2 linked regions of the Drosophila melanogaster genome follow. The protein of the gene in region 1 purifies or fractionates together with the protein of each later gene. This does not show direct contact. Each region holds a gene or a part of one and is shown on either strand. Other genes may lie near its edges.

The links.
Region 2: the proteins of PNUTS (region 1) and Wdr82 purify together in Drosophila melanogaster (affinity purification with western blotting, with the first as the bait; one study listed by BioGRID). This does not show direct contact.

The regions. Positions count from the first base shown.
Region 1 is NT_033779.5:868,689-872,645, reverse strand, and holds the start of PNUTS (phosphatase 1 nuclear targeting subunit), read right to left. Parts: upstream 2,182-3,957; 5' UTR 2,094-2,181; exon of another isoform or gene 1,306-2,093; 5' UTR 1,073-1,305; coding exon 1,070-1,072; intron 1,006-1,069; coding exon 908-1,005; intron 841-907; coding exon 566-840; intron 439-565; coding exon 1-438. Other genes in the region: dbe (dribble), read left to right, coding at 2,870-3,907.
Region 2 is NT_033779.5:8,372,714-8,376,049, reverse strand, and holds Wdr82 (WD repeat domain 82), read right to left. Parts: upstream 1,590-3,336; 5' UTR 1,524-1,589; coding exon 570-1,523; 3' UTR 501-569; downstream 1-500. Other genes in the region: CG13390 (uncharacterized protein), read left to right, coding at 1-488; CG17292 (uncharacterized protein), read right to left, coding at 1,922-2,066, 2,136-2,510, 2,762-3,169, 3,297-3,336. UniProt on the Drosophila melanogaster protein: Component of the SET1 complex that specifically di- and trimethylates 'Lys-4' of histone H3.

The sequences.
Region 1 (3,957 bases):
TAACCTCCGCCGCGGAGCTACTATCATCTAACCCGGACTTTTTCCCCAGACTAGCATCTGCTAATAAGTGGGTTGCGGAGGAGCCCTTTTCCAGATGTTCCACCTCGTTGTCTTTCGATTGTGTGCCAGAATCCGTTTCGTCGCCACCATCTGGGTTGTCCAACAAAGGCTTCCACTTGATGGTAATGCTGTTGGAATTGCTACTGTTGGCCGCCGAGGTGATGGTATACGTCACAGGTGCTCCGGCGCTATCAGTGCTGTCTGAAGAAGAGGCAGAGTCCGGAACTGAAGCGGAGCCAGCTCCAGAAACGGATGCAGGAACCTGAGAGGCAGTAGTGGCTGCAATATGTGGCGCAGCACCTTGGATCGTCATGCTTGTGTTTTCCGTCACAATCTTCAGCCACTGCTCTACCAAACGCTTGGCTAGAATGCGTACACCTGGAAAACGGGGTCGAGAAAAGCCAATTAGTAATCCCTAGGTAATTAAAAGCATAAAGGACAGCCCAAAACATGACCCAAAAACACTAATCTACGACTAGAGTAAGACTTATCAAAGAAAACTTACCTTCGTTGCCGCCATCCTTGCACAGCCCCTTGACCAGAATAGGTGCTGAGTTTATCTTGAGGCGATTGACATCCACGGGAGAAAGGAGCAGCAGTTCCAGGATCTCCTGTACCAGCGGCCAGTTCATGGCCCTGATGGCATCATTTAACCAGGTGTAGACCAGCGACCAACCGCCCACCGCCATAAAGTCGCCCAATAGTTCCGTCTTTGTGGATTTCAGAATTTGTACATACACACATTTCGAGACGAGTTTTTTTGAATACTTGGCCATCAAACTGTGGGCGAAAAACTTGATATTAGCAAACGCCGATAGGTGTCGCTGCTGACAAGTGGTGAACTTACCCCGAAATGCGTTTCACCTCCACTGCACTTAAAATTCCACCATTATTGTCCAAAAGCACCCGCAGGCACCTCAGCAATTGCAGTGGAACTATACGAGGCTGTCGAATAAAAACATTAAATAAAGCACAACTGTTGTTGCATTTCCTAGCCAATATAACTCACCATTTTCTTTGTTAGTCGTGCGAAAGAAGAAAATTTATCTGGCAACGCTAACTCCCTATAGCCGTCTCTCTTCCACACTTGTAGGTGTGACCATACGCAACGTGTGCGCGTGTGTTGGATCGTGCGTGTGTGCACCGACACTCGCTTTTGTTGGTATGGGTGTCTTAATAGATACTAAATTTCCACTGATTACGTAATTCCATAAGAATTCGCTTTTTCAAGGACTGCAATAGTATCTAAAATAGGAGAAAACACCAGTCTGAGAACAAATTTAGCAGGATAAAATTTTGCTATATCCCTACAATTCACTTTTAAGACGAGTATTAAATAAATTCCAGCAGCAGCGCCAAAATATGATAAATGCTGTTATTTTATTGTCTCAACTGGCAGTAAACCAATAATCCCTCCGCTTGAATGTTTTGTTTTTTGTTTTGGAGCTGCAGAAAACGTGTTTTACGCGTTGCGATTTTTTCAGGCACTGATGAAATTCGGACGTGTGCTCGCGGCTATCGGTAATCGATAAGCCAGTGCAGCCCTGAAGGCTGTCCACTCTCAGAAAACCGAAAATTATATATTACGACGTATTGGTATTGATACGAAAACATGCGTTCGTCTGAACGTTTGTAGCACAAATGTCTCTCTACCTCGTTTTTGGTTACAACCCAAATTTGACTTTAGGTACAAGCAAAATGTGAAAGTTACTTAGTTTTTCTGTTAAAGCAGGTTGGCAGCGCCTTGCCACGCACACAACAATGACGCCATTTTGATTTTCACAATTTTTCACAAAGGCGTAATTAAATCCGCAGCCAAGGGAAATGCTAGAAAATTGTCTTTTAATAGCAACTTCAACAATATCGGCCACTTTATATTGATTTTTCTTTGTTTAATCCTAATTATCGGCTTTCGTTCACGTCCACGCCCCAAAATTGGACATGCGGTTAGGTCCGCACACTTAGGTCGAGCAAATCGGTAATAAGCCTTCCAGAAAATATATATTAAATGTACAATTGTTTATCGGCCTTACAATTTGTTAAATATTTAATTGGCGACGATTTTTCTATCTCTCCGAAAACTCCTGCGTGCGCTTTGCTTAGGCTCACAAAATCGTGTGACCTTTCCTTGCTTGAAAATAAAAGTTTGTTTAGAAAATACCAAAACGCATAGTCGGAATATGGTAATCTAATTAATACCCCTATTTTGAAAGTACAAACAATAATTATTTACTTAAAAACACTTTTAATATAAATGGATTTAGTTTCCCGTTAACAGTTTCAAAAACTATCCACGGTGGATAATAGCGAATGCTATAAAAAGAAATTTATTGAATTAAGATTTTAATTCATCTTAATTATTCTAACACATATAATGGCATAAGTTATAGATACCCTGAGCTCTTTTTCAATTAAATAAAATTTGTGAAGGTGTCAGGGCTAAATCATGTATTGTTTGACTTATTTCTTATATTTTAGATATTCAGAATTGCATATTTTATTAGTATTGATGTACCCAATATCCTTAATATTTGAGTTACATTGGAATCGCAATTTTGTTAAGGCATTTATCTGGCACACGATCAAATATAATTGTATTTGAATATATATTTTAAAACATTCTCAATCGAAAAATTTATTTTATAATCAAGATAAAAATAAACCTTTAAATAGGTAATCTATCAATAATATTAACCAACCAGTTTTCCCTGATATGGTCACACGCATTTACCGCTGATCTGGCAGCCTGGCCAAAACAAGCGTGCAAGAATCTTACCTGTAGAATTAGCTTCTGAAAACTCGAGTAACGATGAGCGAAAGTGAAGCGGAGGAGACCAAAATCAGCACCGAGCCGGTGGACAATGCGTGGTCCATGAAGATCCCTGCCTTCAGGCAGGAGGACAACCCGCATGGGATGGTGGAGGAGAGCTCCTTCGCCACGCTGTTTCCCAAATATCGGGAGCGCTATCTTAAGGAGGTTTGGCCTCTGGTGGAGCAGTGCTTGGCGGAGCACCACCTGAAGGCGGAGCTAGATTTGATGGAGGGGAGCATGGTGGTGAAGACCAGTCGCAAGACCTGGGATCCCTACATCATCATCAAGGCGCGGGATATGATCAAGCTGATGGCCAGAAGTGTTCCCTTCGAGCAGGCCAAGCGGGTCCTGCAGGACGACATTGGGTGTGACATCATCAAAATCGGAAACCTTGTGCACAAGAAGGAGAAGTTCGTGAAGCGGCGACAGCGTTTGATCGGACCTAACGGCGCCACCCTTAAGTCCATTGAACTGCTCACCGATTGCTACGTTTTGGTTCAAGGAAACACAGTCTCCGCCTTGGGTCCTTACAAGGGCCTTCAGCAGGTGCGGGATATAGTCCTGGAGACCATGAACAATGTGCACCCCATATACAACATTAAGGCTCTGATGATCAAGCGGGAGCTGATGAAGGATCCGCGTCTGGCCAACGAGGACTGGTCCCGATTCCTGCCCAAGTTCAAGAACAAAAACATTAGCAAACGCAAGCAGCCGAAGGTCAAGAAGCAAAAGAAGGAGTACACCCCATTCCCGCCCAGCCAGCCGGAGAGCAAGGTGGACAAGCAGCTGGCCAGCGGAGAGTACTTCCTCAACCAGGAGCAGAAGCAAGCGAAGCGCAACCAGGAGCGCACCGAAAAGCAGAAGGAGGCGGCCAAGCGCCAGGACGAACGCCGAAACAAGGACTTTGTCCCGCCCACGGAGGAGTCAGCTGCTTCAAGTCGGAAGAAGGAGGATGGCTCCTCCTCCAGCAAGGTGGACGTGAAGGCCCTGAAGGCCAAGCTGATCAAGGCCAACAAGAAGGCGAGGAGCAGCTGATAGTTTTCCTAGTTTTAATTAGTAGTAGGACCTATTCAATAAAAATTGAT
Region 2 (3,336 bases), 7.5 Mb from region 1:
CCCTACTGAATGCACTGACACGGGCCAAGCCAAAGGTTGCTCCCTACGCCTTCACCACGCTGCGTCCGCACTTGGGAACCGTCCAGTACGATGATCATGTCCAGCTCACCATTGCCGATCTTCCCGGACTCGTGCCCGATGCTCATCGCAATAAGGGCTTGGGCATACAGTTCCTAAAGCACGCCGAGCGTTGCACCTTGTTGCTGTTCGTGTTAGATGCCAGTGCACCGGAGCCATGGACGCACTATGAGCAGCTAATGCACGAACTCCGCCAGTTTGGCGGACGTCTGGCGAGTCGCCCGCAATTGGTGGTGGCCAATAAGCTGGACGTGGAAGAGGGCCAAAACAACTTTGAGGAACTGCAACGTCGCCTGCAAAATCCCGTGCTCGGCATTAGTGCCAAAATGGGTCATAATCTTGGACAACTCCTGAACAGCATACGTAGAGGATACGACCGCCACAAGGACCAGCCCCAGGAATCCAGTTAGAGGCCTCTGTTTATGTTATGTTGATTTATTATTTATAAATTAAATTGTAATCTTATAAGCTAAGCAAGCGGGAATCATTGCCTACAAGCCCTCCTCGGATGTGGGCAGCCAAAAAGCCATGTTGGTGCACGCGGACGCCAGCATCATGTATTTTGGATTGAACTGAACGCATTGCACCGGTCCCGGATGGTCACCATTCAGTACGGACACCTTATTGCCAGTGTCGGCATTCCAGATGTGCACTCGTCCATCGGTGCTGCCTGAAAAGATGAACTGCGAGTCTGGGCTGAAGCTTGCCTCGATGGGAATGCCCTTGTTGTTTGGATAGCCCGTGAACGTTTGTAGCGGAGTGCCGTGGAAGGCATCTACGAGCCGGATGACCGATCCATTCGTGCTGATCAGAATTGTTTTGCCGTCACGGGAGAACTTAAGGCCAGTCCAGTCGCATTCCTTCTCCTGATTAAGTTTAAATGTGACGAAGGGGCCTTTGTCGAAAGAGCGAAGGTCGTACAATTTAATGCTTTCCGAGTTAACGCCAGCGGCGAAGATCAAGCCCTCGGGATCGTAGGCAGCAATGGGTCGTCCAGAGAGATGCATCAGTCCCTGGCAGTTGGGCGAGCGCAAGTCCCACAGGCGCAGCGTCTTGTCCAGCGAGCCGGAGAGAAAGGTGTCCTCCACCGGCGAAATGCACAGCGAGATAACCTTCTTGGTGTGGCCGGGGAAGTAGCGCAGATATTTGTTGTCGTGCAGGCTGAGATAGCGTATGGTGTCGTCCACCTTGGTGGAGCTATGGATGGCCGTGTTGTTGGCGTGCGTAAAGTGGATTAAATCCACTCCATACTTCTTCGAGTTCACCGTGCGCGACTGCGTCCCCTTTTCGCAGTCGTAGATCACGATCTGGTCATCCTCGCTGCAGGATATTAGATGTTCGCCGTTGGGCGCAAAATCGATGGCGTTGATCTTGTCCGTGTTCTCTCGGAAGATCTTGGCCACCTTAAAACTGCGCACCACCGAATCTATTAGTTTTATCTTCATTTTAGCCTGTCGAATTTCGTTTTGTTGTCAATATGCTCAATTGTTGCAAACAATGTTATCGGTGGCAGAGGTTGACGGGTCGATAGCTGTGTTATCGATATCGCAACTTTCGAACTGGTTCCGGAATGAATTGCAAGAGCGGAACCAGCAACCAGATTTAAATTATTTGAAAGTTCAAAAAATCCATTCAAAAAAAGTAATTAATAAAACTCATTTAAAACCCCAAATAGTGCAATAATAATGTATAAATACCCCAAAGTAATGCAAAGTTTTTTTCAACAACAAAATTTAAGTATATTTTTCTCGTAAATCAAAATGTGGTGTAAGGCGTCATAGAAACAACAATATTAATATAGCTACATTTCATAATGTACACAGTGCAATTGTAGATGGTCTTATTAATTCGTTTTCTCCGACGGGCAGTCACAGGTGATGCTGTGGGTATTTCCCAGCAGATCCTTGGGGTCAACGTAGACAGTGCCCTCCTTGCCTCGAGCAAAAGGTGTATGTCCGTTGGTTTGTAAGTAAAAGTCGCCATGAATTCTGAAAATCACAATTTCAAATGATGAAACTAAATTCTGCGCTATGCATATAAGGCAAGTAGAAACTTACGTCGTGGGACAATGATGACCCATCACCACGGGCGGGCAATTCTCTACTATTTTGTTCTGCTTGAAGTCCGACCATTTCTTGGCGGGCACAGCATCGAATCCAATGGGATATCGATCCGAAACGCTCTCGGCCCAGAACCACCAGCTCCTCCGATGACTGGACAGATCGTTGTCGCTGAGCATCTTGTAGTTTCGCTTGGGACAGCCAGGCTGCAGGCTGTATCCACCATTTGGCCAGAAATCCGCCGTGCCCGTGCTCGTCGGAGCTCCGTACAGCCAGGCGTCCGTGTGTATCACGTCGACGAACTCCGCATCATTGGCAGACAGGTGCGTGCCCGGATAGAAGAGCGGAAATGCGGGATCCAAAGCGGAAATTCTATAAAAGAAGATTGGAGATAAGTGAGACAAGAAAAGGATTCAATATAAACTTTATAAACTTTGCCGAACAACGATTCTAAAAAAAAACTTTTTGTATTACCATATGGTAATACAAAAGTGTTAAGCTTTGGACATTAAAATTATTAACTAAATATCGTATATTAAACATCGTATATCATGACGTCGGCATAGACTAAAATCGAACCGAGCATGAATAAATAATTTGAAATCAAACCTCTTTCATTTTACCTTTTTATCTTTCTGACACCCTTGGTGCGTTTAGTAATCTCTCGGCCGAGGAGTCCGGCCAGCTGGCCGCCCATCGAGTGTCCGACAATGTGGAACTTCTCAATGTCCAGGCCATGGTCGAACATTTTGAGCAGGACCTTGGCCAACTCTGGGCCCAGCTGTTTGAGGTTCGGGAAGGCATCGAACATGTAATTGCCATCGGCCAGTTCACCCCAGTCTAGGACGATAAGATTGGTATCCTTTCGCTCCAGATAGGCCTCGGCTATGACGTGAATGCTCTCCACATCCGGATCTTCCAAGTAGCCGTGCAAATAGAGCACGGTGTTCTTGCCCAAATCCAAGTGCTCGTCCTCCAGAAGACTCTGGAAATCGGTTAGGTCATAGATATCGCTATCTGCCACCGTGGGTCTGTGAATAAAAGATAATGCTATAGGTGAATACTTGAATATATTTAAGAAATTTGGATATTAGTGCAATAACATGGCTTTATGTATAATTTTTCTTCATATTTACTAATAATAATATTAGTTCTTACCCATAATATAGTATAAACTTGGCTGTCGTTAGATCCGCCT